Callithrix jacchus: one gene and its partners. The protein of the gene in region 3 purifies or fractionates together with the protein of the main gene of each other region. This does not show direct contact. Links are inferred from orthologs where the notes say so. Each region holds a gene or a part of one and is shown on either strand. Other genes may lie near its edges. The genes, in order: PLEKHA2, AMOT, MPDZ and YAP1.

What was found.
Region 1: the proteins of MPDZ (region 3) and PLEKHA2 purify together in Homo sapiens (affinity purification with western blotting; 3 studies listed by BioGRID and IntAct, with this or other methods). This does not show direct contact. The link is inferred for Callithrix jacchus from reciprocal best matches to the Homo sapiens genes MPDZ and PLEKHA2.
Region 2: the proteins of MPDZ (region 3) and AMOT purify together in Homo sapiens (affinity purification with mass spectrometry; 4 studies listed by BioGRID and IntAct, with this or other methods). This does not show direct contact. The link is inferred for Callithrix jacchus from reciprocal best matches to the Homo sapiens genes MPDZ and AMOT.
Region 4: the proteins of MPDZ (region 3) and YAP1 purify together in Homo sapiens (affinity purification with mass spectrometry; 6 studies listed by BioGRID and IntAct, with this or other methods). This does not show direct contact. The link is inferred for Callithrix jacchus from reciprocal best matches to the Homo sapiens genes MPDZ and YAP1.

What each region holds. Positions count from the first base shown.
Region 1 is NC_133514.1:39,732,721-39,740,613, forward strand, and holds the start of PLEKHA2 (pleckstrin homology domain-containing family A member 2), read left to right. Parts: upstream 1-3,744; 5' UTR 3,745-3,940; intron 3,941-4,289; 5' UTR 4,290-4,384; intron 4,385-4,602; exon of another isoform or gene 4,603-6,183; intron 6,184-7,893. UniProt on the Homo sapiens protein: Binds specifically to phosphatidylinositol 3,4-diphosphate (PtdIns3,4P2), but not to other phosphoinositides. May recruit other proteins to the plasma membrane.
Region 2 is NC_133524.1:109,162,482-109,170,592, reverse strand, and holds the start of AMOT (angiomotin), read left to right. Parts: upstream 1-3,852; 5' UTR 3,853-4,233; intron 4,234-5,332; exon of another isoform or gene 5,333-5,461; intron 5,462-8,111.
Region 3 is NC_133502.1:119,760,474-119,767,930, forward strand, and holds part of MPDZ (multiple PDZ domain protein), read right to left. Parts: intron 4,881-7,457; coding exon 4,671-4,880; intron 3,997-4,670; coding exon 3,857-3,996; intron 2,725-3,856; coding exon 2,511-2,724; intron 1,786-2,510; coding exon 1,657-1,785; intron 1-1,656. UniProt on the Homo sapiens protein: Member of the NMDAR signaling complex that may play a role in control of AMPAR potentiation and synaptic plasticity in excitatory synapses. Promotes clustering of HT2RC at the cell surface.
Region 4 is NC_133511.1:37,538,758-37,546,921, reverse strand, and holds the start of YAP1 (transcriptional coactivator YAP1), read left to right. Parts: upstream 1-4,059; 5' UTR 4,060-4,443; coding exon 4,444-4,761; intron 4,762-7,637; coding exon 7,638-7,888; intron 7,889-8,164. UniProt on the Homo sapiens protein: Transcriptional regulator with dual roles as a coactivator and corepressor. Critical downstream regulatory target in the Hippo signaling pathway, crucial for organ size control and tumor suppression by restricting proliferation and promoting apoptosis.

The DNA of each region.
Region 1 (7,893 bases), on a different chromosome or scaffold from region 3:
AACCCTGGGTTCTAGAACCAACTCTGCCACTATTACAGCTTTAAAACCTTGAGCAAATTGTTGGACTTTATCTTGGGACAGCAAGGAGACTGAAGTAGTTGATGCGAAAGGTACTTTTTTGACATTTCTTTCCCCACAGGTAGATATTCTCAGACATTAGGGCTGTTTATTGCGCTGAACAAAAAGTATAAAATCAGGCAATAGCAATACTGTATTTTCAAAATGTGTCAATAAAGTGATGGCAAAAAGGAAACATGAGAAGCTAGACACAGCTGGACACAGTGGCTCACGCCTGTAATCCCAGCACTTCAGGAGGCCAACGTGGGCAGATCTCTTGAGGTCAGGAGTTCCAGAGAAGCCTGGCCAATGTGGTGAAACTCCAGTCTCTATTAAAAATACAAAAATTAGCTGGGCGTGGTGGTGCAGGCTTGCAGTCCCAGCTACTTGGGAGGCTGAGACAGGAGAATCACTTAAACCTGGGAGGCAGAGGTTGTAGGGAGCTGAGATCACACCACTGCACTCCAGTCTGGGCAACAAAGCGAGACACTGTCTCAAAAAAAAAAAAAAAAAAAAGAAGCTAGACACAAAAGGCCACATATGTTATGATTCGACTCATATGACTTATATGAAATATCAAAAATAGGCAGATCTGTAGACCGGATGGAAAGCAAGTTAGTGGCGACTAGGGGCTGGGAGAAAAGATGATTGGGAGGTGACTGCTTAATAGGTAGGTGTTACCTTTAGAAGCGACGAAAATCGGTTGGAACTAGACAGTGGTGAGAGCTGTACAACATAGTGAATGTACCGAAAGCCACTACATAAACACTTTAAAATTGCGAAATTTATGTCATGTGTATTTTATTACAATAAAAAAGTGTCCCCCAAAGAGAGGGGGATGACAAAAGATAGCAGGGTGCAGACTCACTTGACACCTGCTTCAAGGTAACATTAGAGGAGGGGTTGGGGTGTGGGTCCTCTGAGGAAGCCCTGGGAGATCCAGGGATGAAAGAGTAGACATTAGTGCAGGATTTGTCATCTAACTGGGGCCAGGTTCTGGCCAGAGGCACATGTAGCAGTCAGTGGGGTTCCAATGGAGAATGAGCATCACCCCAAGTACACTGACGATGACCCTCCCTCAGCTCAACATGTTCTTGGCCTCCTCTCACTGTGGTCAAACCCTACCCATCTCAGTTCTATTTCAAAGCCCACTCTCTTCTTGAGCTCCCCCCACCGTACCCCACACAGAGACACACTTCCTTCTTCTTTTTTTTTTTTCTTGAGACAGGTTCTCACTCTGTCACTCAAACTGGAGTGCAGTGGCATGATCATGGCTTGAATTACTGGGCTCAAGTGATCCTTTCACCTCAACCTCTCGAGTAGGTGAGACCACAGGTGCATGCCTGGATGATTGAATTGCTTTTAAATTTTTTGTAGATATGAAGTTTCCCTAGCTTCCCAGGCTGGTCTCGAACTCCTGGGCTCAAGGGATTCTCCTGCCTCAATCCCCCAAAGTGCTGAGATTACAGGCATGAGCCGCTGCCCCTGACTACATCTTGTCTTTCTAAAAGCTGACAGTACTTACTCTCTGTGCCATTCCCAGGTCATAAGGCTGCTGCAGCCTTCTAGAGACACTTGTATTCTCTTGCCACCCAAGGCCTTCTGCTTCTCTTTGCCTCCCAGCATCCAATACAGTAGTGCTTAGGAAATATTTGTGGCTCTGTGATGGAGTGGCTCAGGCAGCCCCATGGGGAGTAGAGTTTTGAGTTTAATATGAACCATACCATGAAATCTGAGAAATCTACCTCATTGCTCATACTGGAAACCCTCTGTTCCACTCAGATTTGCTTGGAGCTGGATGAAACTGTGTTGCTTTTCACACTGAAAATGATCATCTAATTTTTAAATTAAAAAAAGTTTACATAGCACCTACTTCATGTTGGACAGGAATCTCAACACTTCACAAATGTTAACTCACTGACCCTTCCTAACAAACAGACATTGAGAAGTTAAATAACTTGCCCAGAGGTCAAAGCCAATACGTGGTAGAGCTGGGCTTCAAATCCAGGTTCCTGGCTTCCAGAGATGCTCTTCAGTTTGTTCTGGTGCCTGAAACGTACAGATGAGGGCCAAAACCCTCCACACACAGGGGAAAGAAAAAAAAAAAAGACAACATTGATGTATTTATTTCAAGGGATTTTTTTTTTCTTGCTTCCCCCCTTTCTTCCTCATTCAAAGCAAAATGCTCTAAAGCAGTCTTTTTTTTTTTTTTTTTCCCCACACCTAGAGGAGACAAGCGCGGCTCATTTTTTTGCTTTGGCAATCAAAATAGAAGAGAAAACTTGTGTGGTTTCATCACTGGTGCTTTCGAGATGTGAGGGGCGGGCTGTCCTTCTCCCTCTGGCTCATTGACCCTAGACCCCTCCCCAGGAGTTGTGGCCTCGGGTCCTGGAGACTTAAGGGGGCCGCCTTTCCACTATGACTCCGGGAACGTGCCCCAGCCTCTCCCGCCTTCCTGCAAATCCAGTCCTTGTCCTGAAGAACCTCGGCGTCTTCTTACGCCCGCCTCTCTCAAAGTTTCTTAGGCTTTACACCTGATTAATAACGTTTGCATCAGGATGGCCAGACCCCGGCGCACCGCCCTGCAGGCCCGCGCTAATCCATTACATTGTCATGTTTCGGATGTTGTCCTCCTGACTTGATGCATATTCAAATGTCTCTCTCCCCACGTGGGAGGCCGGAGTCAGAACCTGACAGACCTGCCGTTTACTAACTGGGGACCCAGAGCAAATTACTTCACGCACCTGAGTCTCGGTTTCCTCACCGTGAACGGGATTGGTACCTATAGGTTGCGGCGTGGATCGAATGAGATAGCGCAGGGGCGGCATCGGCGCACAGCAGCTCTTAGCTCCTCTTAGCGACGTCTACGTAACACATGCTTGTCTGTTTCCCATTTTCCCCAGAGCACCCTCAAGCTCTCGCGCCACACCGAAAAAGTCCCAGCGGTCGCGCTGTAGGTACCTGTGGGCCCAGCTACTGTGGAGGCTGGAACAGGAGGATCGCTGGAGCCCAGGAGGTGGAGGCTACAGTGATTGTGCCGCAGTCCAGCCCAGGCGACAGAGCCAGAGCCTGTCTTAATTAAAAAATAATAATAAGAAGAAAGAAATTAAAGTTCCTATAACCCTGGTTAGAGTGTTCCGGGCCACTGTCTCTCAGGGCACATTTAGGACAACCTGAAGTAGCCACTCTTCTTGGGACCCTAACCCTAACCCTAACCCTAACCCTAACCCTAACCCTAACCCTAACCCTAACCCTAACTCCTCGGCCCCCAAAGGCTCTTAGCTCAGGATCTGAAGGAGGCCGGGCTGAGGCCGCTGGGTGGGGCTCTGGGAGGAGGAAATGGGGTTCCCGAGGGAGCCCGCGCTCCAGCTCGCCTCCTTCTGCGAGGACGCCCCCCTGCCCGGACACCTGCTGCCCGAACGAGCGTCGGGGCCCGGCCTCCCAGCGGGGCAGTCTCTGGGCGCCCGTCCCACTTGCGCGGCGTGGACCCCGGGCTGCCTCCGGCGCAGCCTCTGGGAGCCCCGCCCCGCCTCCCCGGCGCGGCCCCGGCGCCCAGCCGCGCCCCCTCCCAGCCCGCGGCGCCCCGGCACCCCTCTCCCTCCCAGGCAGGCTCCGCAGAGCATTGTACTCACATCCGGGGCTGGGTTTTGCTTTAATGCGAAACGTAATTAACCCGGAAAAAAGAGCAGAGGGACTGGAGCGAAGGAGGGGGTGCAGGGGGAGACAAGAGCTAGGGGAGCCAGAGGCGCGGAGAGTTTGGCAGCGAGACCCAGAAATCCACTGAGCGCGGCGGACCCGGCGGACCCGGCGGACCCGGCGGCCGGAGGGGCGACCCCACCCGATGTAACGCGCTTCGCCTGAGCCCCGGCCCCCGCACGGCGGGGTAAGTTGGGCGCTCTCGCGGGCCCAGGAGTGGAGCGGAGCAGAGGGGCGCGGGGCCGGCAGGGCTGGGGGTGCAGGGGGCGCTCCGGCGGGGCCAGGCGGCCTAGGGGCGCTGGGGGCGCGCGCGCGCAAGGCTGCGTACGCCGGTCCTGGTGGCTGACAGGCGAGGGGAGGTGGCCGCAGACCCAGGAGGCCTCCTCCAGCCCTCTGGGAAAGCCCCGAGGGCAGCCCATCCTCCAAGTGCCCCCGGTGGCCAAGGTCGCCGCCGCCAGGGGTCGGGCTGCGGGGGTGGGGCCGCGGGGAGGGTGGGGGCGGGAGTTCTGCTGAGCTGCATTTTCTCACGTTTGCAGCGGCGAAACTTCTCTGCGGGTTCTGGAGCTAGGGCACCGGCCCCGCAACGACTGCCCGGGCTGCGGGAGGGGAGGAGAGCAGAGAACGTCCCCAGGCAAGTCCCTCGGGTGCGGATGGGGCCGTGGAGACTCCTCTTTCTCTTCCCCCACTACCTTTTGACTTGACAGGCTTAAAAGGCTCCCCTAGGGACACCCGTCCTTTCCTCTGGGTGCAGCCTGGCCTTTGGGCTTCTGGAACTCCAGGAAATTGGAGAGAACTGCCCTAAAATGCAGGTTCGGTGCCAGGTTGGGCGAGCCCTCGAGGGGAGCTGTCGTTCTTTCTCTCATCAACTTCTTCCTCACCTTACACGCTTCCCTTTTCTGCTCCATTCCTAAAGACGATTTCACCAAAATTTTTTTTAAAAAAAGAAAGAAAAAAGAAGCGTGGTGGTGGTGCGGGGGGAGCCAGGACGTTTTCAAAGGAAAAGGGTCTCCGTACGTCCAGAGAGGGGAGCGGGGCCAGCGGAGGCCGCAGCACCCTCACATCTTCTCCCGGGGCCAGCCCTGCCCCCAGGCCCTCGCCTTAAGGTTTGGCTTCCTTCCTTCTTGGTGAACACAGGTTCAGGATGTATCTTCCCCTTCTCATTCCTTCTTCCTGCCCGCCCTCTTTCTTTCTTTAGGGTTCCAAGTGGGGTTTTCAGAGGACAGTAAACGGCAGAGAGGAGGGAGGGGAGAGCACCCTATCAGGAAGCCAGCTGTGTGGCTCTGGGGGCTCTGAAGGCTGAGCTGTAGGTGCAGTTGGGGCTGAAGTCCTCAGATTGTACAAATGGTGTTCTTAATGTATCGGACCAAGTCCCTTTTTCCCTTTTGGTGTGGAAGATTTCCAAACCGTAAAGCAAAAGATCTTGAAAGAATGGAAGTTTTTGTTTTCTATATCGGTTGCATTCAGTTGACATGTATTATACATGCAAGGCAGTGATGAACAAAACACATCTCCTGCCTTATTTACTTATCTTTTATTTTTCCTTTACCTCTGGAGGGCTGGAACTTATCTTCTGGGACCTTCCGGGACTTGTAAGCATACTTGTTTTGAGAAGCCAGAGTAAGCTTTTAGAAAGCATCATCATCATCCCAGATGTTAGCCTTCTTCACTATGTGCCACTTGAAGGCAGGTGACTTTTGCACTATCAGAGGTCTAGCTTGTAGTCTGGATTATGGCCAGCCCAACATATGACATGTACCAGGTGCTAAGTAAATGTTTGTTGCATTAGTGAATGAATGCAAACACATGCATTGTCTGCACTTCTCCAAATGGCAGAGAAAAGAGCAGTGCGTTTGATCCTGAAACCTGTAGCAATTTGGATCACCAAGCTGGTACATGGGAGTTATTAGTCCGGATGTTGCCTTTACACCTAAATATCCTTTGGCCCTGTTTGTACATTACAGCACACTTTCTGCAAATTGACTGTAGCAATCCTAGTGGAGTTTTAGCTGGCTGGTAATGGGAGCCTTGCTCATTTCACAGATGGGTAATTACCTTGGTGTTGGTTGGGAAACCGCCTGCCCTTTGGTGAAGAGTTTTTGCATACCTTTCTTTTTCCTTGTTATTGGTGCTTTCTTCTCTCTTCTGTGTAACGAAGTAGGGCCTGCAGATGCCATCATGTCATGATAGTGAGCTGAACCATATTCAGCTCGGTATTTTAGAATGGTTAAAATAAATCTTGAAGACCTGCAGGTTTTGTTTCTGCAGAAGTGGGAAGGGGAAGGCTGATGAACCCTCTCAGCTGAGCTCCAGAGCAGCCCTCCCACTACCTTGCCAAGTGTTTGCTGAAGTGCTGGGATACTAGGAAGACCCAAGCAGCAGGAAGTGTGTGCATCCACCGGCACTGGTCTCCTTCATGGGACAGATGGACAGGTGGGTGGTGCCCCTGCTGAAAGGCTGGATGACTCAGATGAGAGCTCGCTGCAGACCACAGTGCATCAGAGTCTCTCTTCTGATTCACGGAAACTGCTGTGGCTTGACTTATTCTGGCTGTGATAGACCTAGGGCTTGGAAAAGAGGATCTGGGTGCTGGGATGTTGGGTTGCTCTGCCCCCTCCCTCTCTTTCCACCACGAACAGTTTGGGTTGCCTTCCTTTCCATTTTCCATCTGTCTTAGTGAGCTGGATGGGACTCCAGCAATCTAATCTGGTAGGCTTTGGAAAGGAAGGAAGCAGAGCAAATATTATAGTGTGACAGCCTATGGGAAGAGAAAAATCCTGGCCCTGCCTGATATAAGCCCGTTGTTCAGATGGGGAATTGGGCAGGCGGGGGGAGATAGGGCAGCCGGGAGGTGGGAGGGATGCGGTCTCATCCTGTCGGTGGAGGAGGCCAGGGGTTGGTGCAGTGAGACTCTACTGTTCCTTCTGAAAGCCCCTTTCCTGCCCTGACTCCAGTTGATTGAAGTGATTTGTTCAGCATTAAAGCCTTCTCATTGCGGAGGTCCCAGCCCTGCTGGGGCAGGGGCCTCTGATACTGCCCAATGTGGGCAAAAGTCTTGGGGGGCTTTGGCCCTGTGGTGTGCCTTTTGCCCATAGTGCCTGGTCAGCTCAGATGCAGAGGATGGGAAGCTGGGTCCTCTTGTCCTTATACTCTTGAGAAGCACTGCAGTTAAAGTGCGAGGTTGGGCCTTAAATTCGGCTGGGCCCTTGCGAAACAGCCCTCTGATGGTGTGATTGCCTGTGGCTGGATCAAGAGGCAGCTCTAGGGCCCTTTCCTTGGAAACCGATGAGTATGTCTAGGTTTCTGTTAACTCTCAAGGTAGCCTGGCCAAGGAGCCAGCGGATTGCCCGGACTTTTTGTTTTAAACCCGCTGGATAATTTTTTTTTAGACAGAGTTTCACTCTTGATGCCCATACTGGAGTGCAATGGTGTGCTCTCAGCTCACCGTAATCTACACCTCCTGGGTTCAAGTGATTCTCCTGCCTCAGCCTTCTGAGCAGCTGGGATTACAGGCATGCACCACCACTCCTGGCTAATTTTGTATTTTTAGTAGAGACGGGTTTTCTCCGTGTTGGTTAGGCTGGTCTTGAACTCCCAATCTCAGTTGATCAACTCACCTTGGCCTCCCAAAGTGCTGGGGTTATAGGCATGAGCCACTGCGCCCAGCCGAGAATTTTTAGAGATGTAAAATGCGGTGGTTCTTGGAGTAGAGGGAAGAGTGAGGGGAACTGATGCCTTTCCCTGTGAGAGGGATGTCAGAGTCGCAGCTTTTTCATTGCCATTTGCTCACTGGCGTTGGAGGGGTGGAGGTGCCTGTGCAGCAGCTGCCTGCCCTAGGTTAAGCAGCTTTGCAGTGGTAATGATGACCATGTGCTCCTTGTTAGGCACCCACACATGAAGTTTAACAACAACAATATTTACCCAATGTCTGCTGTCCAGGGCTTTTCACACGCTGTTTCATTTAATCCTCACAGCAGCCTTTGAAGTAGGTAAAGCAGTTATCTCCATTTTGCAAATGAGGAAATAGACCCTGAAGAGTTAAGCAGCTTGTCTGGGTTTGCATCCAGGTTTGTCTGGCTTGAGACTCATAATCTTTCCCTTCACTCCACTGCACAGATGGGATGGGTAACTGAAATCAACACA
Region 2 (8,111 bases), on a different chromosome or scaffold from region 3:
CAATACCATTCATTTGGCACTTAGCACATGCTTGTTAGTTGTCTTTTTATGTTTATATCCTTGAAGGCAGGAGCTAAGTCTCATGCCTCTTTATTTTTTCAGTCTTGTCTATAATAGCGGCTCAATCAATGTTTGTTGATGTTGGGCTCCCCCTCCCCCTCTCTTTTAAGTAGAGCAGGCAATGCATAGCTTTAAATCCAAACTCGGTTTAAACAAACTGAAAGGTTTTCAGGGTGAAAACAAAGAAGTCTTGCATAGCAGGATAGAAGGCTTGGAAGACCTGGGTTAAACAGAAGTACCAAAAAACTGTTTGCCACAGGTTAAGAAGTCACTCGCACACAGCATCAGAGTTCTGCTAACTCTATTTCATCAACATTTGGAGAAGAGTAATGCCCAAGCAGTGTTTGAGGAGGAGGTGTTAAAGGAATTAAGTGTTTTAGAGGTTTTCACTGCTCCAATTCCATTGCTCCACAGCACTAGTTGCTGTGGGGAAAGCATGTTAGAAAAGTGTTTTGAAGGCAACTTCAAGACGAGGGGCAGGCATAGTACAAATGTAGCCACCAGGACTTTGTTACCAGGATTTCTTTTTTAATGGCATCTTCTGTAGTGGCAAAAGACAGGAAATAGCCCAAATGTGCCTCCAGTTTTTTAGAGATTAGTTAAGCGCGGAGAGTGAAAACTAGCTCCAGAGAGTCAGTTTATACAGCAAACTGTGCCACACACATTTAGAGTCTTGCTATGTTGCCCAGGCTGACCTTGAAATTCTGGCCTCAAGGGATTCTCCTCCCTCAACCTCCCTTGTAGTTGGGACTACACATGTGTGCCACCACTGTGTCTGGCTCCCAAATCCCCATTTAATAAGTGGATGAATAAAAGAATTTTGACAAAGCAATGTAATAGATTACTGAATTATAATAAAATAAATAAGGTAAACAGTTATCCTGAGATGAAAGGATATTTCAGACACATTGTTGAGTAAAGAAATGCAAGGTGTGCCATGATTAATGATTTCACTTGTAAGGAACAAAAAGGGAATAGGCACTCATGCTTGAATATGCAAATAATCTATTTGAAAGATGACATACAGTCATAAAGAGCATGGGACTATGGGAGCAGAGTGGTGGGGAGGAACTTTTCACTGTAGTCTTCCATTATTCTTTTTGAGATGGAGTCTTGCTCCGTCACCCAGGCTGGAGTACAGTGGTGTGATCTCGGCTCACTGCAACCTCTGCCTCCTGGGTTCAAGTAATTCTCTGTCTCAGCCTTTCGAGTAGCTGGGACTACAGGCACGTGCTACCACATGTGGCTAATTTTTGTATTTTTAGTAGAGACGGGGTTTCACCATATTGATCAGGCTAGTTTTGAACCCCTGACCTCAAGTGATCCACCCGCCTCACCCTACCAAAGTGCTGGGATTACAGGCTGAGCCACCGTGCCCAGTCCAGTACTATTTTATTTGAATTTTTCCATTTCATGTTTAACTTTTTTCACTTGGACAGCATTGATTTTAACAAGTATGCTGTTGCCACTGTGATTAGTAGTAGTCCTGCAGCAAGTACTGCCCTCCCATCTAGTTCTCCTATCCACTCCAACAACAAGGCTGAAATAATCTTCCCTTGCTTCACAAACCAGGTATCTCCATATCTTTAACGTTCAAAAACTCACTTTCTCCATGAAAAATCACTCAAATGACCTCACTTCATACATAAACTGAATCATAACCAGAATCATTTTGTGCACACTCCTGCTTCTGAATATTTCCACAGAGCATGCTGGACACTCCATGATGTGCAATCGTCCCTACTTTTCCTGCACTCAGAGTTACAGTCTGAGCCCCAGTTTACTGTGTGATAGTGTTTCCTTTAAGCACACTTCCTCTTGCATGCCTTGATCCATGGCCTCTCAGATGGCTCCCATTAGGCAGGCTTGAATTGGATGTCACTCTCATGGGCATGAGCTCATTATATCAGCCTTGTGCTGTCAAGGCCTTTACAGTTAGGCTTGCTTCCTACTTGAAATATTTTCTAGGAAATATGGATCTGTAGAGAATGGTGGTTTCCATGGTAAATGTTCCTTCATATTTGTTTTCTCAAGTTCACTTTGCAGATACACAGCATGATTTCCTCTTTCAGTACCAGAACCACAATAGCTTTAAGTTGTCATGAAACCGTAGAACTTTAAAAAAGAAATCTCACCCACCCTGCTTAGAAAAGGGGTAATTTATTATTCTAACTGCAGGGAGTCAACTTCATATCCATCTCCAAAATTGTAGGAAAAGAGCTGATTTTTAAAAATAAAGCCACAAAACCTACACGACCTTGGATGTAAATGCTTAAAACAGATGAACAGAATATTAATTCTCTAACACATGTAAGACTCTCCACTATGTGTCATACACAAGTAGGAACACATACATGTTGGAGTGCTTTAGTTTTCACACACATTTCATTTTCACTCCAGTGCCATTAATTTAATGGCATGTCTTACAGCATTTATTTACAGGTAGAAAAATTAAGGCTGAGAAGTTAAGCCACCTAACATTAGTCATACAATTAGCTAGTAAGTGCCAGAGCCCCAAATGAATTCTTCTTTTGGTTCTCAATTCTATGTTATTTTGCTACCCCTACACTGTTTCTTTGTGCCTTCGTTTTCCCAGATGTAAAATGGTAGATTTTCCGTGTCCCAGTATACTGTTCTCAACCCTCTGTTTTTAACCAATATCAGTTTTTTTCTTCCACAGCCAGGAAATGTGAACGCCACACTGGCACTTCATGTACTTTTCCCCCTCCGGATTTAATGAATTAAGGGGAAAGAAAAGTTACCTATTCGTGGAGGGCTGGACAGTGCTATAAACATAAAGGCGTACCAGAGTCGGCCGACACACTGCTGCACTCTTTTATGAGACTGAGAAAGCGTCTCATCTTTCTCTTCCCAGCGGTAGCTGGGGTAGAACATAGAGCTACACAATAGCCTCTTGTTTAGTTTTATTAATTTTGAGGACTGGTGGGACAAAAGGATCAGACTGGCGACTCCCGGGCCCAATCGCAAACGTATACTAGGCCAGGCCCGGCCAACCAGTAGCGGCAAAAGAATGGTGGGCGGGACTTACGCTTCAGGGGCCCGCTCCGCCCAGGCCGCATCTAACAGCCCGCCCAGGGGCGGAGCCTCTGCAGAGCCCCGCCCACGACCCCCTCCTCCCTCGCCCCGCAGCTTCTGCAGCCCGCCATCGGGAGGCGGGGGAAACTCCCGGGGTGGGGGAGCGGAGGAAGAAAGGAGGGTGTCTCGCAGAGCTGTGACCTGGGTGGGGGCCTGCTAGTAATAGGAAGCGAGAGGGGAAGGAAAACGAAGGAGCACTGCTCCTTCCTTCATTATTTTAAGCAGGCTTTGGTGGAAGCTGCTTTTCAGCATTTCTATTATTTGCTTTTCTTCCTCCCGCTGTGGGGCGGAGAGCTGCACTGGCTCTCCCACGCGAGTATGCCGCGCTGTTGCCGTAGGTTATTATTGTAGTCTTTTGCAAAACCCTTTCCTTCTCCCCAGCCAGTCCCCGCGCAGACTCTCACGGCTACGGCAACCGAGTCGTGCCCCTCTAGTGGAAAGGCGAGAGCGAGGGTCCCCAACTTTCGCCCGAGCTCTCGGACCCCGCGGTTTAATTGTTTGAAACTTCCCCGCCCCCCGGCCCCGCCTCTCTTCCGCGCTCTCCTCGCTCCTCACTTCCAGGGTCCAGGCAAGCTCCCGCCCTTCTTTCCCCGCCCTCTACTCCGCCTTCCTCCCCAGTCCACCCGCCCTGCCGCTCCGGGGCGGTCCTAGCCGCTCACCGCAAGAAGAAAAGCCACCCGTTCGTCCCCCTCCCCTACCTCCCATCCTTTGCCCAGGAGCTGCCTTGGCAGTCACGCCCCTTCCTTCCGAGGAGCTTTCTGGCTGCCTAAACTGGTAGACCCCCTGAATTACTCCTCCGTCTCCGCTCTCTTTCGCCTCCTCTTCTCTTAGTTCTCTCCGCCTCCCCCTCCAACTACCACCACCTCCAGTCAATCTCGCCTCCGACCATCCGCTGCTCCACCCTCTGGCCCGGTATCCTGCCTGTCCACTGCCACCAAGGAGAGCCCGGACGGAGCAGCGAAGAGGGGAGCAGCCAGGAGTTGGGGCTTCCCCCCTGCCCATCCCTGGCCGCTGGCCCGGGACCGAAGCCACTTGAGCGAGCAGAGAGTCGTCACCTTGTCTTCGTTGCCTTCAGGGGTAGGAGACGTGTGGTTACTTTTTGCGGGGAACTGGGGCAGGAATCCATGGTGGCATGAACTTGGTCGTGCCCTCGGCGTGAGTGAATCGATCTAGGCGCGTGTGAGAATGCCCGTGTATTCTGCTGTCTTTGCAGCTGGCCATGAGTTTTTCAGGATGTGCAGCAAGTTAAATCGGTTAGAGTGTGCGCTGCTTTCCCGTCCTGCTTAAGTGAGGAGATGCTAGTGGGTACCACTACTAGATGGTATTTTTACTTCCTTGCCTCCTGGGGTTCTTCTGGGTCTCTAGGAAATTAATCACATTGAGGAGCTAAAGACCCGAGGGAAGCTGAAATCTACTTTTAGCCTAGCATGCAAGTCAGTGCTTATCTCAGATAACTAGATAGGTTTCTCCTAAGTGCTTAGGCTTGGGGTGTGGACTCACACTCCCTGAGGCGGGAGAAGGAGGGGTAGGACCGTGAATTCTTGAAGTTTTAAAGTCTGCGTAATCTAAAACATAAGGCTACTTTTTGAAATGTGTGGTGGTGGTGGTGCTTGTGGTGGTGGTGATAGTGGTCATGAGGAGGGAATTGCCCCTATCTACTTTAGAAGATCCAAAGATGTTAGTAAATAGTTTTGGGGGATCAGGCAGGTGTCTTGAGGGTCCAAGCCTGGGCCACTGTACGTTGGTGCTTCAACAGTAAGATGGACTTCGTGGATATGTGAAAATCAAGAGAAAGAAAAGTGGGAGTAAAAATACGCCTTTATAATAGACTATGAGCAGTTCCTGGTAAATTTCCACTAATAATAATATAATAATGTTCATAAAGTGACTAAATAAGATTAAATGAGCAAGGAAAGAGGAAGTTGGTGAGAAACAGCATTTTCAATCTCTAGCGTATGTTTTAGAAAGAATTTTTCAACAACCTAGGATGTTTAGTTCAGTTCTCCTCCCTCCGTGGAAGTTGGGAGGCAGTTTAAAACTTTTATGAATATAACCCTCTTCTCCCATTCAGAGAGGAAGATAATTAGTCACCATAATCTTCAATGATGAAGGGCTAAGGGTATTTAAGTCTCCTTGAGCTAGGCTTTGTGAAAAGTTCTTTCTCAGGCCAGCCTTTGTGAAGCCTTCTCAGACCTTTCAGCACCCTCATTTAGTAGCTAAGAATAGTTTGAAATGCCATTTTGGATGTGGGATACATTTTCATCCATCTCCCACCTATCTTCAATTGGACAAGTGCATCAAACTTGTAAGTCGTGGTGTTCAAAGACTTATTTCTGTGATGTCCTGAACTCATTGCTTATTTGGGAACACATTATTTACATACATTTAAAAATAGCTTTGGTTGATTTTAATGAGGGAAAGGAAGGTAGGAAGGTAGAGAAGGAACGTTACATGGCGACAGTTTTAAAGGCTATCCTGTTTCAGATCAGCTGGGAGGGAAAAGCTGGCCTAGCCAAACTACATTTTATAACTGGCCTGGGACACTTTAACAGCCAGGTGGTTGTAGAATAGTTGCATCTATTTACAGATGATAACTCAGGTTCCAGCTATTCTGTATGGGTTTATCCGGTGTCATCGACAGACACTTTCTGGCACGACATCATACTTCATTTTAAATTACTTCTTTCTTTGGAAAAGTTTGTGGCTTTGTAAAATTGAAAGTGTTTTTTTCTACCTTCATGGTGTAGATGTGAAGTAAACCTCGTTGTATGTGGAGTCACTTTTACATGAAATTTGTGGATCTGTTTAGCTATTTAAAAGATTTTAGAAAGGGAATTTTAATAATTAATAGTCAATTCAATTTTGGATTTAGAAATTAAAATCTCATTTCCAGTTTATGAAGTTGGATTTATTAGACTAATTCCCAACTAGGACATTTGTAGAGTTGCTTTCTCTGAGGTTTTGTAAAGACCACATCAGACTCTAGAATGCTTTAAGAATAGCCTAATCAGAAGGCAGGGGGATGGATACTATGACCTTGAGGTCCCATTGAGTGCCAGAATTCTAAGTGGGTACATCTGCTTCTGTGCCTCTCCTAAGAGCCCTCTCCCAGGGCCTGCGCCTTCTTTAAAAGGGTGTCTTTGTAATTAAGCAGCCCTTCTTCCCCATCCCCCTTTCTTCCTTTGATCCAGCTTTTTAAGGCCTTTTTTCCATTTGGAGACAAGAGGAGTTTCTCACACTTTCCTGTTCCCCTCTTAACGTTTCTTGTCCTTTACCTCAGAAAAGTCCCCTGAGGTTCTCAAGATGGTTAGAAGTTTTGTTTTGTTTGGGGCGTGGGGGTGGAGTGGGGGAGTTGTTACCAGTGAGGAGGAATAGAGGATATATTCCCGCTTGGGAAATGCTTGCGACCAGGTAGCCTCCTCCATGGAGACTGAGCATTTGGAATGCATGAGAACAGTCTATTCTTGGGGACTGTCTGGTAGAAATTGTCCTTTGCACCCATTAAGCCCAGCTTAAACACATTGAAAGGGGTGGGGAGAGGTGTGTGTGGTCGTAGTGGAGCCTTTTAGGATGGTAAATGGGTAAATGTTTCCAAATCTCCTATTACATCATCTCTTTCTCCCATGGATTCAGTAGGTTTAGTGATCTGCTTGACAAGTTAATTAGCTGGGGACTAAACCAATTTGTTTAGAATTGTGATCCATTGATTTCCTGTCCCCAGGAATTTTTGTTGGTGTTTTACTATGATGTGTTGTCTTTAGTCTTACTTACTTTTCCCTCCTTGCTGCCTTTTGTGGACTTTGGTCCAAAATCTAGGGTTCCACCCCCAAGTCAAAGGTTAGAATTTTGTCCCGGGAACTAAGGGGGTATTAAACAGGCTGGCCATACTGCATTACTCTCCTCCATGGTGGGCTTCTGACCCCTTTTAACCCAGAGAAAGGAGGGAAGTCGCCCCTTCCACACACAACACACACAATCTGAACAAAAAAGAAAAAGAAAAAGAAAGAAAGAAAATAGGAGGTCATTTGCTTTATAAAAGAATCCACAACAGGTTTCTTTGTAAGTACTAGCTTTCCTAGTTAGTGCCTTTAAACTGTGACTTGATATATAAAAATTCACTCTAACTGGGCCTTCTCAGAAGTATATTTATTGCATAAAGGAATACATAAGAATTTGTAATGATTATCGCTTAAATGAAGTGAGGCCATTATTTGGCCTTTGAAATCTTTTTGTTATATGGAATGGAGTTAGTTAATTGTCTAAATCATGCTGGCTTGTAATAATGCTGGCCACGTTAGCTCCGGCCTACAACTGCTTGCAGAAGAGAGCTAGTATTACTTTTTGAAAAAAAATCAGACTTTATAGATTTTGAACAATTCTAAGGCTGAGACTATCCACTCCATATAGGTAAAATATTTTATTTCCAGTCACTGTATTTGACTTACCCAGGGATCCAGAAAGTTATTTCTAGTAAATAGTGGCGACTGATGCCATTTTTAACCTAAGAATCTGCAATAAGATTTCCTAGTGAGCCTATTGGTGAGAAGGATCTGGGCTCTAGGCCCAACTGTAACTCGGTTTACTACTTCTGTTAAGTTTTTTTTTCCACTGTAAATTGTGGGCTCGGACAGGGTGATTTTGAGAGCCAGTTCTCATAAGTTTAAGGTTTTCTTTCTAGGCCTCAATATCTAGTATGAATGTGAATGATTGCTACTAGAAGGAAGTGCAACAGTTGTTAGAAATTCAGTCATCTAGTCATCATGTTAAAACAAAAGATCCTGTAAGGATATATCAATATAGATGCATTATGTTTTATATTTTAACAACTCCAAATTAAGAAGCTAAGACTCTGCCTAAAACTTTATCAAGAATTCCATCATCCTAGCAGATCACCTGCTTTCATTTTTTCTAGTTCCTTTCAAGTCCTGGTTCCTGTACTAACATGAATTTTAGAT
Region 3 (7,457 bases):
GAGATGTAGACCAATGGAACAGAACAGAGGCATTGGAGGCAACACAGCATATCTACAACCATACAATCTTTGATAAACCTGAGAAAAACAAGCAATGGGGCAAGGATTCCCTGTTTAATAAATGGTGTTGGGAAAACTGGCTAGCCATGTGCAGAAAGCAGAAACTGGACCCCTTCCTGACACCTTACACTAAAATTAACTCCAGATGGATTAAAGATTTAAACATAAGACCTGGCACCATAAAAACCCTAGAAGAAAATCTAGGTAAAACCATTGAGGACATAGGAGTAGGCAAGGACTTCATGAACAAAACACCAAAAGCATTGGCAACAAAAGCCAAAATAGACAAATGGGACCTAATCAAACTCCACAGCTTCTGCACGGCAAAAGAAACAGTCACTAGAGTGAATCGGCAACCAACAGAATGGGAAAAAATTTTTGCAGTTGACCCATCTGACAAAGGGCTGATATCCAGAATTTACAAGAACTCATACAGATTTACAAGAAAAAAACTAACAAGCCCATTCAAAAATGGGCAAAGGATATGAACAGACACTTTACGAAAGAAGACATATATGAGGCCAACAAACATATGAAAAAATGCTCATCATCACTGGTCATTAGAGAAATTCAAATCAAAACTACATTGAGATACCATCTCACGCCAGTTAGAAAGGCGATCATCAAAAAATCTGGAGACAACAGATGCTGGAGAGGACGTGGAGAAAAAGGAACACTTTTATACTGCTGGTGGGAGTGTATTAGTTCAACAATTGTGGAAGACAGTGTGGTGATTCCTCAAGGACCTAGAAATAGAAATTCCATTTGACCCAGCAATCCCATTACTGGGTATATATCCAAAGGACTATAAATCGTTCTACTATAAGGACACATGCACACAAATGTTCATTGCAGCACTGTTTACAATAGCAAAGACCTGGAACCAACCCAAATCCCCATCGATGATAGACTGGACAGGGAAATTGTGGCACATATATACCATGGAATATTATGCAGCAATCAAAAATGATGAGTCCGTGTCCTTTGTAGGGACATGGATGAATCTGGAGAACATCATTCTCAGCAAACTGACACAAGAAGAGAAAATGAAATACAGCATGTTCTCACTCACAGGTGGGTGATGAACAATGAGAACACATGGACACAGGGAGGGGAGCACTACACACTGGGGTCTATTTGGGGGAATAGGGGAGGGACAGCAGTGGGGAGCTAGGGAGGGATAGCATGGGGAGAAATGCCAAATGTGAGTGAAGGGGAGGAAGACAGCAAATCACACTGCCACATGTGTACCTATGCAACTATCTTGCATGTTCTGCACATGTACCCCAAAACCTAAAATGTAATAAATAATAATAGTAGCTACATCCACAATTATCAAATCCATAACCCTGGCTTTAGTCTGAGGTTCAAAAGTGTTAAAGCCCATTGTTTAAAACTATAACTTAATACCTTTTCTAAAGTATTCCTCCCCCAGGTCTAAGACAACACTTCAGGGATACTCAATAAAATGAAAGATTCTAACTCAGTTTCTTTGGCATTATCTAAGGCCATAGTTTTTTCTCTCTAACAAAAAATGTGAAAGATGTGGCCATATTATTTGATAAACTAGCATAAAAGATCTATTGTGTAGCCTACCTGATCAGCTACTCCTCCAGGCAGAATGGTTTTTACTATCACACCAGTTGCTTTTCCTCCTATGATGCCAAATCCCAAACCAGATCCATCATTCACCAATTCAATAGTTTCCACATGTTGCCAGTGAACCTACAAACAAAGCTCATATATGAATTTGTAGAAATTTGCAAAGAACTTTTTATATTACAGTAGAAATTTTTGTGATTATTATTTGGTTAATATTAAATAATTAAATTCAGACATAAAAATGAGCCCTAACAATGTCCCTTTCATTTGGTATACTTGCCTTTCAACAGAATGTAATGCTATGGATAGAACCATTCTTGAAATTATCAATGTATCATCATAATGATTTCATTTCACCAGTTAAAGACAGACACTGATTTGCAAGATCGTCTGTAGAACTTCTCAAAAAAAAAGAAAAAGATCAAGGAAAAAGGAAGGTCACATGTTAAGAATGTCTTCGCATAAACCTGCCTTGAGGCAGGATGCCAAATTAGATGACTTCTTAAAGTCACTGACAGCTAACTGTAACAATATAATTGTATAATTTTTAAAGCAAAATCAAGATTGTACCTGTCTACAGATAAAGTCAATTTTGTTAAAAGACTACATTTTTCATTTTTAAGGAATGCTATCAAAGAAAAAACTACACAAAGAAAAGTAATGGTTGTTTTAGAACCTAGAAGCTTTATCATACGTAAAGGCAAATATTCCAGGCTAAGGAAAGATGAAAGAATAGTTACACAAAAACTCAAGAAATGCAAAGAACCTACACAAATTAGAAACTTGGAGATAACCAAAAAGAACTCGAAAAATATGTTCTGTTCCTTTTGAAAATTGTAGGTACTCACCGGATTAGAGTGAGCTGAAATTGTGCTGGCTGCAGATGGGGAACGGGAAACTATGGGGCTGATAAGCTGAGGCAATGAGCCTCTGGCAATAACTAGTTGGACAGTATCTTTGGCTTTCTGCAGGATGCTGATAGCCTGCTGATGTGTAATCGTCTGATCAAGAGCCTGTCCATTGATAGCAAGAATTTGATCAGTTTCTTTCAATCTTCCATCTCTATCAAGAATGAAAAGGAGAATAAAAGACATCTGAGAGTTCTCAAGGAAATGACAGCTTCTTGGACATGCATGTTCAAGTCATTTTTAATCCTGTTTTTAATTCTCACACTTTTTTTTTCTTTTTTCTTTATTGCATTTTAGGTTTTGGGGTACATGTGAAGAACAAGATTGTTGCATAGGTACACACATGGCAGTGTGATTTGCTGCCTTCCTCCCCAATACCTGTATCTGGCATTTCTCCCCATCAATTCTCACATTTTTTAATCTTTTTCCTGCAGTTCTACTTTAAAATAATATGCTTTGGCTGCAGGTCAGCAATTCTTGTAAGGTTATTCCACTGCTACTCCTACTCAGCCCCTTCCATATAAAAGCATTCTTTATTTCAGCCACCCATTCAACCTACATTACATCTTGGATATTCCTATCTTCTAAAAATGAAAGTGGATATACATAGAGAGTTGGTCCTCTATATCCATGGTTTCCACATCCATAAATTCAACCAACTGGGGATCAAATATAATCAGAAAAAATAACACAATAATAAAAAATCATACAAAATTTTTAAATACAGTATGACTATTAATATTTACATAGGATTTACATTGTGTTAGGCATTATAAGTTATATAAAGACGATTTGAAATATACAGGAGGATATGCACAGGTTACGTACAAATACTACACCATTTTATATAAAGGACTTGAGCATCTGCAGCTATTAGTACCTGCAGGAGTCCTGGAACCAATTCCCCATGGATAATGAGGGACAACTGTAATAAATTGTTGCTTTTGGTATATAAATAATATGCAGCTCAATTTATTATGGATCATTTCTAGTATAGTAATTTTTAAAATCTAATCAAAAAGAGCTCATTTAATTAAAAATGAAAATAATGTTATCCTCAAATTTTTCTTTCCTTATCAAAACAAGTTATGACTATATTTAAAAGCTACTCTCACTTCAAAGGACTTGTTATTTTTATCACAATGTTAATGACTTGTAAAAACTGGTTAATAACATTATATTCAATTTTTTGTTTGTTTCTATTCATTATTATTTTTCTAAATTCTCACATAATGACCAAAACCTTCAGAATGGCTATCAAAAAGAAGATCCTGTGACCATCTCACCTATGTGCAACACTGCCCTCTTGAATCTCTTGTACAAATATTCCCAGTTCTCCTCTGTTTTCACTTCTTAGTCCCACAACACTAAACCCAAGGCCTCCAGATGGAGGTTTGAGGAGCTCAAAAACTTCTACATGGCGACCCTGTTTAGAAAACAAAGAAATAAATAAAATTAAAAGCCAGGCCATGCATGGTGGTTCACGCCCGTAATCCCAGCACTTTGGGAGGCCAAGGTGGGAAGATTACTTGAAGCCAGGAGTTAGAGACCAGACTGGCAACATAATGTGACCCCATCTCTATAAAAAATAAAATAAAACTCAGCTGAGTGTGGTGGTACACATCTATAGTCCTACGTACTCAGGAGGCTGAGGCAGGAGAATCCCAAGCCCAGGAGTTTGGGGCTGTAGTAAGCTATGATCACAACACTGAACTCTAGTGTGGATGACAGAGCAAGATACATCTCAAAAGAAACTTAAATTAAAAACTAATGATGCACAACAGTCATCTTATTAGAATCATTTCTTTGTTAAAAAAAAAAAAAGAAATGAAAAAAAATTTTTCCAAGGTCATTGTTAGCACTTTATCCTGAAGAACAATTTCTATAACACAACATATAATACTCAAATTTAAATGGTGATAAGGAAACTATAATTGAAAAACTCTGAACCATCTAAACTCCCACAAAATTGACTTCCTTTTTGTTCCAATTTTTTCAGATGTTATAAATATCACTATATTCTTCAAATTATCCACAACTTGATCACATTCTTAACTTATTTCAGGTATTACAATAACTAACAGAAAGAAATGTTCTTACCTGGGCCATATTTTTGATAAGCTGATCAAATTCATCACAAGCAGGTTTCCCATTAATGTGTAGAATACCAGATCCTGTAAGTGCTTCCAGATTCCCATTGTTTGGGGATAATAAAAACGATTCATTTTGCAGAGTAGGAATCACAGCTGGGCTGAGATGAGGAATGTGGGCATATTCAGTATTCGAAGTTGCTGAAGTCGAAATATTTACCTAAGAGTAATACAGAGATTATTAAGAATTTTGACATTCCATAAACTATTGCATAGAAAATATCCCAAGGGTATAAGTACATACATATGAAATTTCAAAATGTCCAAATCCTTTGATCCAGCAATTCTATTTTAGGAAATTTATTTCAAGGATAAACGTTAGGATAATAAAGATGTGTGTGCAGCACTAAATGTTCAATGCAGCACCATTTATTAGATGGGAAAATTAAAAAAACCAATTACCTCCAGGGTTGAATTTCAGGGTACTCATTAAAACACACACATAAATATATACATCCACACAAACATTTTTTTTTGTCCCCAGATCCCATGAAGTAACCTCTAAACTCTCAGAATTTCCTGAGTGATGGGGTGTCTTTCTTCTTCATGGTGGGCCACAGATATAAGCCCAAACTCTGAGTCAGATTTTAGTCATGTGGGCAGGACAATCAATCAATCACACCTATGAAATAACACCCCAATAAAAAATTCTTTAGGGGAGGCATAGCATTAGGAGAAATACCTAATATAGATGACAGGTTGATGGGTGCAACAAACCACTATGACACGTGTATACCTATGTAACAAACCTACACATTCTGCAAATGTATCCCAGAACTTAAAGTAAAATAAAATAATTCGAACACCAAGATGAGGTAACATTCCTGGGTTTGCAACACAGTCAAACACATTTCTACATGTGTTTGCACTTTAACCTAAGTGCTATTATGAGAGTCAAAAGTTTTAAAAAATTAAAACTTTATAAAGCAAAATGTTACAATAAAATAAGGTTAATTTATTATTGAAGAAACAAACGTTTTTGTAAATGTAGTATAGCCTAAGTGTACAGTATTTATTAAGTTATGTATAAACTCTATACATAAGAGTTTGTTACCTGTTCTTAAAAACAAAACAGGAAACTCATTAAGTTACCAAAGTTACCAAAAACTTAAACATTACATTGGCTATCTATAGCATACTAGATACACTGGCTATCTGGTGGTGCACCGTAATGTCCTAGGCCTTCACATTCACTCACCACTCATTCACTGATTCACCTACAATAACTTCCAGGCCTGCAGGGTCCATTCATGGTAAGTGTGTCCTATATAGGTGTTCCATTGTTTATCTTTTAACCATATATTTACTGCGCTTTTTCTGTAGTCACACAGATAATTACCATTGTGCTACAACTACATAAGGTACTCCATATAGCATCCTATACAGGTTGGTAGCCTAGAAACAATACCATATAGTCTAGTTGTGTGGGAGGCTATACCACTTAAGTTTGTGTAAGTATACCCTATGATGTTTGTACAAGGATGCAATCACCTAATGACACATGGCTGTACGCTCTACATATTGTCCCACATGAATTCTGGCAAAGTTATACTTTCCCAGGAAAATGAAAGCTTCCAGTTGGGAATCCGCCCATAATCTGCACTACGCATCTCTTTGTTTGGCTGACCCTTAATTGCATCCTTTCCCTACAATAGATCATAATCATGAGTATAACAGATTTCAGAGAATTCTCTAAGACCTTATAGTGAATTATGAAACCTCAAGGTGGCTAGGGCTAGGGGAACCTTGCAAACTTGCAGCTGATGTCAGAAGTGAGGGTGGTTTTGTGTATCCCTATACCTTTAACTTTGTAGCTGGACCCTAACTCACTGCAGTTGGTCTCAGATGTATGGGGCAGCACTAGCAGTCTGGAGGACTGTGCCCTCAAACTATGCTGTCTGGCTAGCTCTAAGTACAATGACACATGTAACAATAGAAAAGATCATCCCACTCTGGGAAATGATTCTATAATTATTTGTGTGTGCCTATTACAAAGAGTTTGAAGTTAAATCTAAATAGTAGATAAAGCAATGCAGTCAATCCTAATTTCATAATTATGCTGGATGCCTGGAATGTGACTTTTTATCTATAATTACATATCAGAAAGCTTACTTCAATGATGTTTTTGGGTCACTCTCTGACCTCATCTCCTAGCAGTCTATCCCTTCCCTTACCCACTAAGCTCCAGTTGTGCTCCCTGCCTCACTGTGCCTCAAAGTGCCAAGCTGTTCACTCTACCAGACAGCTATATCCTTCCCCAAATATCCACATACTTCTTTATTTTATTCAGGTGTGCCCAGTCTCACCTCAGAAAGGTCTTTCTTGGCATTCTTATCCAAGATAGCACCATTATACTCCATGAACTTACCCTGTCCTATTTTAATTCATGGCATTCATTACCACCTGATCCATACCCTGCTGTCATGAAGCTTTCATCCTAGCCAGTGGAGACAGACTAGAATGTAAAATCCCTCCAGCAGAAAAATCTGACTATTTTATTTTTACTATGCCCTCATTCTCTAGAAGAATGCCTTATACAAAGTTGATGTTCAACATACGCAGGCAGAAAAATATGTTTATCTATTTTTTAAGGACCTAACTCTAATCCAATCTGCTGAACAACCCTTCAAATATCATCTCAATTTTACAGATTATGAAATTGTTACACAGTCACACACCTAAGTTGTTTATGACCTAGATTTTTTTCATCATGGTATTCCTATCATCTTTGTATTAT
Region 4 (8,164 bases), on a different chromosome or scaffold from region 3:
GGGATTATAAGCATGTGCCACTGTGCCCAGCTAAGTTTTGCATTTTTAGTAGAGACAGGGTTTCGCCATGTTGGCCAAGCTAGTCTTGAACTCCTGACCTCAGGTCATCCACCCACCTTGGCCTCCCAAAGTGCTGAGATTATAGGCATAAGCCACCATGCCCAACATGAGAAGTTTAAACAATGAATTATGATTTTCAAACTGAATTGGCAAGGATGTTGTCTTAGTCTGTTTGTGCTGCTATAACAAAATACCACAGACTGGATAATTTATGAATACTAGATATTATTTCTCACAGTTCTGGAGGTTGGGAAGTCCAAGATCAAGGCAGCAGCAGGTGTGCTGTCTGGGGACAGCTACTTTCTGCTTCCAAGATGGTGCCTTGTTGCTGCATCCTCTGAAAGGGATGAAGGCTGTGTCCTCACACAACAGACAGATGAAAGGGCAAAACAACTGGATGCTGTGTGAAGCCTCTTGTATAAAATTCTTAATCCCATTCAGAAGTGAGGAACCCCATGACCTAAACACCTCCTAAAAGCCACACCTCTTTAATACTGATGCATTGGAGACATTTCGACACGCATTTTGGAGAGACACAAACATCCAAACCATAACAGAAATGAAAAGAGAAGGGAGCAATAGGTTGCAGAAAACGGAGAGGTTAAGGATAAATGAGGTGTACGTAATGAAATGAGAGAACCAGATGATTATTAAGAATATGGTATACCATAGTCTGATTTCACTTCTGGAGTATTTCTGGATGATGACAAGAGTACAGATGTAGAGGCAGGTGCCCACAGTGAAGTAGAGATGAGGGTCCATTGTAGCTGAGAGGTTAAGTAATTGGAAGACAAGTGTTTTGAGATAGTGATCTACATGGACATTGAAAATGGTCCAGGATAAGGGTGGATCTTTGTATGAAGAAGATCCTTTGTATGACAGCATCTTAAAATAGGGAGTCTATTTTAAGATGCTGTCAACTGATAATTGCTCTGCAAAATGGCCAGAAGAGGAAGGAGCAGACAAAGGATTGAATATGTTATCTTTATCCCCTACTACCCTGTGACTGAAATTGTATAAACGAAGAATAGTAAGTTACAAAATTGTGGTTGATGATACAGAAGTGCTTACAGAACATAGTCATTCCAAAGAGCCTTTCGCTCCACTTATCAAAGTAATTTTGTCCTCATTTTAATGGCAGGTAAAACAATATTAAACAAAGCAGCCTCTGCTATATCTTAAGCCCTTTAGTTAGTGTTTGTAGTAGTAAATGCTCTAGTAAAGGGACAACATCCATTTCTTTTCTTTTTATTTTTGAGACGGAGTTTCGCTCTTGTTACCCAGGCTGGAGTGCAATGGCGCGATCTCAGTTCATCGTAACCTCCGCCTCCTGGGTTCAGGCAATTCTCCTGCCTCAGCCTCCTGAGTAGCTGGGATTACAGACACACGCCACCATGCCCAGCTAATTTTTTGTATTTTTAGTAGAGACGGGGTTTCACTATGTTGACCAGGATGGTCTTGATCTCTTGACCTGGTGATCCACCCGCCTCGGCCTCCCAAAGTGCTGGGATTACAGGCTTGAGCCACCGCTCCCGGCCATCCATTTCAATCCCAGGTTTTCAATCACTTTGATTCTTTTTTTGAGACAGGGTCTTGCTGTGTTACCCAGGCTGAAGTGCAGTGGTGTGATCTCAGCTCACTGCAATCTCCACCTCCTGGGTTCAAGTGATTCTCATGCCTCAGCTGCCTGAGTAGCTGGGACTCTAGGCACATGCCAGCACACCTGGCTAATTTTTGTTTTTTTAATAGAGACAAGGTTTACCATTTTGGCCAGACTGGTCTCAAACTCCTGACCTCAGGTGATCTGCTTGCCTTGGCCTCCCAAAGTGCTGGGACTACAGGCATGAACCACCATATCCGGCCCACTTTGGTTCCTAAAGTTTTCTTTCAGGCAAAGTTTTTAATGCATAGTTTCTGCCTAAAGGTTTTGTTTGTGTAGACTTATTATTGGATAAGAGAGGAAGGGACTGCCAAAAGGGTCCCTAAGGCTGTGCTTAGAAAGAGAGAGCTGCTGCAAGGAAAGGCTATGTCACTATCCGTGAAGTAATCTGTGAACACAGGACAATGACCACTGACACTGATGCAGAACTCACTGGTGCAGGACACTGCATGTCCCAAACTGGGCTAAATACTTTATATCCACTGACTCATTTAATGCCTCAACAACTATGTAGGTGTTATTACCCCAATGCTAATATTAAAGAACAGGAATTAAGTAAGTTGTCCAAAATCTCACAGCTAGTAAATGGCAGAACTGGGACCTGAACTCAAAACTCTGTAACTCCAGAACCTAGAGATTTGTCATTAAATGCACTTGACATTTGGAAGTAGAAACAAATCCGGGAAGCAGTCATCGGTGTCATTTACACTGATCCCTTTTTTCAGACAGGAAACTGGGGGTTCAGAGTAGTTGACTGGAATCTTCTGTTAGAATTTTGAGTGTCTGAAACCTGCTACCCTGGCCCAGCCCAACCACACCAGGTGATACGGATCCTTCAGAATTCTACCGGGCATGTTCTGGCTGGAGGAAGAGATTATCTTTTTGCTCACGGACTTTTTCCTTGCTTAATCCTCTTTATACCTCTTTCACTAGCATTGTAGACAAATCATTAAAACAAGAAAGTCACATTTCCTTAGAATGGGCTAGAGCATTTAAATTTAGACTGATGTTGCACAATCCTATGAATATACTAAAAAAAATTCAATGCTTAAATATACAAATATGTACAAATATTACTTAACATTTTATGGTATATGAATTACATCTCAATAAAGACTTTTTTTTTCTTTTTCTTGAGGCTAGTCAAGTGAAGCAGTGGGAGTGGAGAAGGAACAAAGAAATCTGTAACTGGTTGCGATCAATTAGTTGTAAACACCACTGCACTTGGACCAGCCAATAAAGATGCTTTAAAAAAAAACCCGAGAGTGTGACTTAAAACACACATTTCCATTGTTTTTGAGTGGTTTCCAATGAGCTCCTTGCACATCGCGTGCCTGCGGTGACCTCCTTGCCCATTCATTTCTTATTCAGTCCACATTCACAGAGTCCACTGTTGGGCCAGGCACAGGGATAGCAGGGGTAGGACCCAGCTCCCAGAGGATGAAAGACAGGTAAAGAGGAATGAATGCTTGTACCTGAAGAAGCACTGATTTTTTGGGTTGAGGCTTCCAGTGACTATGCTGCAAATTCGAGTACTAAAAAAGTTGATGTGATTTCAGTATTTAGAAAAATACTGAGAAAAATACGCAGTGTTTTTGTTTCTTTTAATAAGTTACAGGGAGTCACAGACCCAGTCTCAAAGCTTCAATTTCAGTAACCATTTATCCTTTCCAAGTGAGTTTTTGCATACCAACACATAAATGAAACAGAATTACAAAATAAAGTTAATGCTGAAAAAAAAAAAGGACCTTTATTAACATTAGCGCCGCCTCACAGTATCTATTTTAACTCCAAGCTATGCTCCCGGCTTGAAGCCCGCACTGGCGCTCCGCTCGGTCGAACCGGGGTAACGCGTGGAGGTGGGTTCGCACATCCTCTCTCCACTTCTTTCGACCTTGGCCCTTTCGCAGGTCCCGGCGAGCTGGAAGCGCCTTTCCCGAGCCCGGGCGAAGAAGGGGCCGAGCGGGGCGGAAGGACTTCCTGCGGCCAAGGGCGGCCGCCTTCTCCGCAGAGACTACAGTTTGGACCCAGATTGGACTCAGCGTTTGTGGTTCGCGAGGCGGAACACAGGGCACGCTCCGGGCCCCTGCCCGGCAGAGCGCGAGCGGAGGGCGGACTGGGCCCGGGTGGGCGAGTCACGTGCGGCCGGGAGCGGCGCCGCGGGCCGGGAGTGTGCAGGAATGTAGCAACTTGCAGCGAAAAGTTTCCCTGCGCGGCAGACTGGGCCGCGGTGCGGGCGGGCGCGCAGAGGAAGGAAGAGCCGGGAGGCGGGGCCGCGGCGGCGCGGGCGGGCGCTTCTCCCAACTTTAGTTTTGGCGTCTGAGGCGAGTTTCTGTCTCAGTCGGGCGCAGCCGCCGCCAGGGAAAAGAAAGGGAGGAAGGAAGGAACAAGAAAAGGAAATAAAAGAGAAACGGGGAGGAGGGGAAAGGCAACCAGCCGTCCGGCCTCAGTCAAGGGAGTTGGAGGGAAAAAGTTCTCAGGCGCCGCAGGTCCGAGTCCCTCGCAGCCCCTCCCGAGGCGCAGCCACCAGACCAGTGGAGCCGGGGCGCAGGGGATGCGGGGCCGCAGCACAGTCCCCCGGCCCTGAGAGCTAGGAGAGCGCCGCTCCCACCGCCCAGCCCGCAGCCCTCGCCGTTTCTCCACCTCGGCCCGTGGAGCCGGGGCGTCCGGGCGGAGCCTTCGCTCGCCTGGTCCGGGGGTGCGCATCGGGGGAGGCAGAAGCCATGGATCCTGGGCAGCAGCCGCCGCCTCAAGCGGCCCCCCAGGGCCAAGGGCAGCCGCCTGCGCAGCCTCAAGGGCAGGGCCCGTCGTCCGCACCCGGGCAGCCGGCACCCGCGGCGACCCAGGCGGCGTCACAGGCACCCCCCGCCGGGCATCAGATCGTGCACGTCCGCGGGGACTCAGAGACCGACTTGGAGGCGCTCTTCAACGCCGTCATGAACCCCAAGACGGCCAACGTGCCCCAGACAGTGCCCATGAGGCTCCGGAAGCTGCCCGACTCCTTCTTCAAGCCTCCTGAGCCTAAATCCCACTCCCGACAGGTAACCTCGCCGCCCCTCTCCCAGCTTCCCCGTCGGGCGGGCCCCAGGCTGGGGGGCGCTCGGGAGTCGCGGCCGCCAGCTCTAGCCAGGGGAGGGGGGGTTGCGGGAGGTCTTGGGTGGGGGTCTCGCGGCGAAGTGGAGGAACTGGAGGCGTCCCCTTGGCTGCGGTGACCGGCTCCCTACTCTTCCCAGAGTCCGGGGCTGAGATTTGTTTTTCCCCTCTGAGTTTCTCTCTGCGGTTGCAGCCCCGGCGGGCGTGCTTTCCCTCTTCCTTCCTTTCTTTCTTCCCGGGGTTCCCGGGAGGTTGGCGGGAGTGGCGGGGGTGTGGGGAGGAAGGAAGGGGGTGGGGAGAGCCGGGCCTGGGCCGCGGTGGGCTTGCACAATGCGCGCGCCTCCGCGCGCTCCGCAACTTCGCTCCCGCCGGGGCCGGGCCGGGAAAGGGGGAGGGGGGCCTCTGGCATTTGTGTGTGGGTGAGTTGCCAGCGGCGGCCGAGTTTCTGAAGTTGAGCCCTGGGCCCCTTTCCTTTGGGGCCTCTCGGTCCACTTCAGTCTCCTGGGGAGTCAAATAATTGTTCTCTTGTTTTCCAATGTTGATTAGGGGTGGGGGTTGAACCGGTCCATTTAGTTTTTTTGCTCGCTCTTCCCCCCCCCGTTTCCCCTCCCCCTCCCGTAAGCTTTTATTTTCTTCGAGGCTCAAGCGCTTTTAGAACACAGGTTTCGGGCTTTCCCTGCCCAGACTTTCCTGGAAGTTGTTTATGGAGTTCTTTCACACCCCCCTGTGCTTCCCTTGTGTCTTGGAACTTGGGCCGGCTCGCTCTTATCAAACTTAGTAGGTTGCGTGTTGGTTTCCCAATTGTAGACTATTATTTACAGTCGGCTGAAACGCTTTTAAATTAGCCACATCTGTACGTTGCGCAGGAACTGAGTTGCACTTTACTGTACCGACGTTTTAACACAAGCCTTTGATAATACACTGCAGGTTGACCCATAGGCCAAGTCCTGCCTAGTTCAACTGTGATTAAAAGTTAATGTTTGGGAAGCGATGACTAATTCTGGAATCGCCATTGCTTTATAATTCTTATTGCGGATATGAACATGGCTGCTTTTCCACATACACAACGTTCGATCATTTTGCCAACTTGATTCAGCATAGAAGTGAAACTATTTATAATGAAAGTGTTAACATTCCGATAGGTCCCCGTGGATTTGTTTAGGGTTCTTTTTCTTTCCTTTTTTTTTAGAAAGAACTTGCTTGAGGCTAAACTTGAGCATAGGAACTTTGCCCAAAAGTTAATAGATTTTCCAAATACTGCAGTGTAGTTAGCCGACTCGGACTGTAACTTGAGTGGAAAGAGTTACCGCCCCCACTCCCATTCCCTCTCCTATTTGCAGGCCTGTTGTATATTCTCCTGTCGGGTTTTGGAACTCAGAAAAGCTCACTTAACCTGATGACAAAAACCCGGGTTAAGGAGGAGGAAGGAAAAACAATTTAGCTTCTTGCCTAAACACTTCAATTTGTCAGAAGTAGACTTAGGTGTGCTTTTTTCTCATACCCCTGAAAGTGGGTTTATGGACTCATTATGGGTAAATACATGTTGGCATGCACCTTACAGACAGTGTATTTTCAAAGTATAATAGACATAGATTGAATCCCCCATTTTGTGGCATCTATCAGCCACAAAGAATCATAACTGGAAAGTGTACTTTTTCTTCTAGTAATTTTTACGTGAATTTCTATCCAGCAGTTCTAAAATTCAGAGTATTATAGTTTTATTTTTAATAAGTTTTTAAGTGTTGTGCATCTGTAAATTCGACTTTTATTTCTGCTAACGATTTCCTAAATCACACTTTTTCTGATGGGAAACAAAGAAAGGTCCATCACTTAAAGGCATGGATATGACTCTACTAAGTCCTTCCAGTTTCCTTACCTTTGTGAATCTAGGAAATTCTTAACTTTTTGGTAATCAAACTCTAATTCTAATTTTTAAAATTTAGATATGCAAGATTAGGAGTAGAACAAATCTAGGTTGCAAATACTATTATTCACAAACTGGTGACTAAGTTTTATGTACATCCATTTTTGTCATGAAAACTGTTTTACAAACGAGAAAACAGGCATATGGAAGTTAAGGTATTTGTTCAGTGTCACACTAGCCAACTTGGAGTGCGGAATTGTTTCTGCTCATAAAGAGTTGTGGATGTGTGTCAGTTATTAAGTTATAATTGGACTCATAACATCTTTATCTTCTACATACAAAGATACAGTTTTTTTTCCATCATGTTCATTGTAGATGGCTTTTAAGAACATTTGGGCAGTTCAAGTTTGTCGATTTCATTACAAATTGTGTAATTTGTTACGATTTCTTTATTGTTGGCATTTTATGATGGGAAAAAATGACAAGGGTTTGTTCTTACTTGGCCTTGACCTAGGGAAAAAAAATGAATTACCTAAAACCTAGTAAAACATGCATATTATTTGTGTTGTGTTTATCCTTAGAATATTTTAGGACTTGGAAAAGCACCCATATTGCATTGACCTTTTAAAAATTAGGTTTTAAAATTTACTATTATTTTTGGAATGTTTTATTTGTTTCAGTACTAGTTGCCTTTACATGTCTAGTGTATAGTAGGTGGAAATTCATTAGATGGACTGCTCATCAATAAAACTACAAATATTTATAAAGTTTATATTAAAATTATATATTAAAAGTATCCATTTGAAAACCTGTGCTCTCTGGTGTCAAATATTAAATGTTGAAATTTTCCTTTGGTTCTTAGACATTTGGCTGCAATTAAGCACTGACTGGGAAATTTAAAGGGACTCTCAAAAAAGTTTTTTTTTTTTTCTTAATTTTTCATGTTAATATTCCTAATAGGCCAGTACTGATGCAGGCACTGCAGGAGCCCTGACTCCACAGCATGTTCGAGCTCATTCCTCTCCAGCTTCTCTGCAGTTGGGAGCTGTTTCTCCTGGGACACTGACCCCCACTGGAGTAGTGTCTGGCCCAGCAGCTACACCCACAGCGCAGCATCTTCGACAGTCTTCTTTTGAGATACCTGATGATGTACCTCTGCCAGCAGGTTGGGAGATGGCAAAGACATCTTCTGGTCAAAGATACTTCTTAAAGTAAGTGAAAATAATGGTGGGAGACAATTATCTAAGAAAAATATGTATTGGAAAAGATAGTAAAGCAGTGTCAAGATATAGAATATTATTTGTTTTTATGTTTTACTTAATATTTATGTTAAGCTCTGTTATATCTTCCATATATGTTTTTTAGTTTGGTATGATCTAAATACGTTTGTTAGCATGGATAATATTTTGAAAGCTTTATTGAGTCTTGGTTCTGAACCTCTCTATAATCTTTTCATTTGTGGAAGTTTGGTATTTCTCATTTTGAGC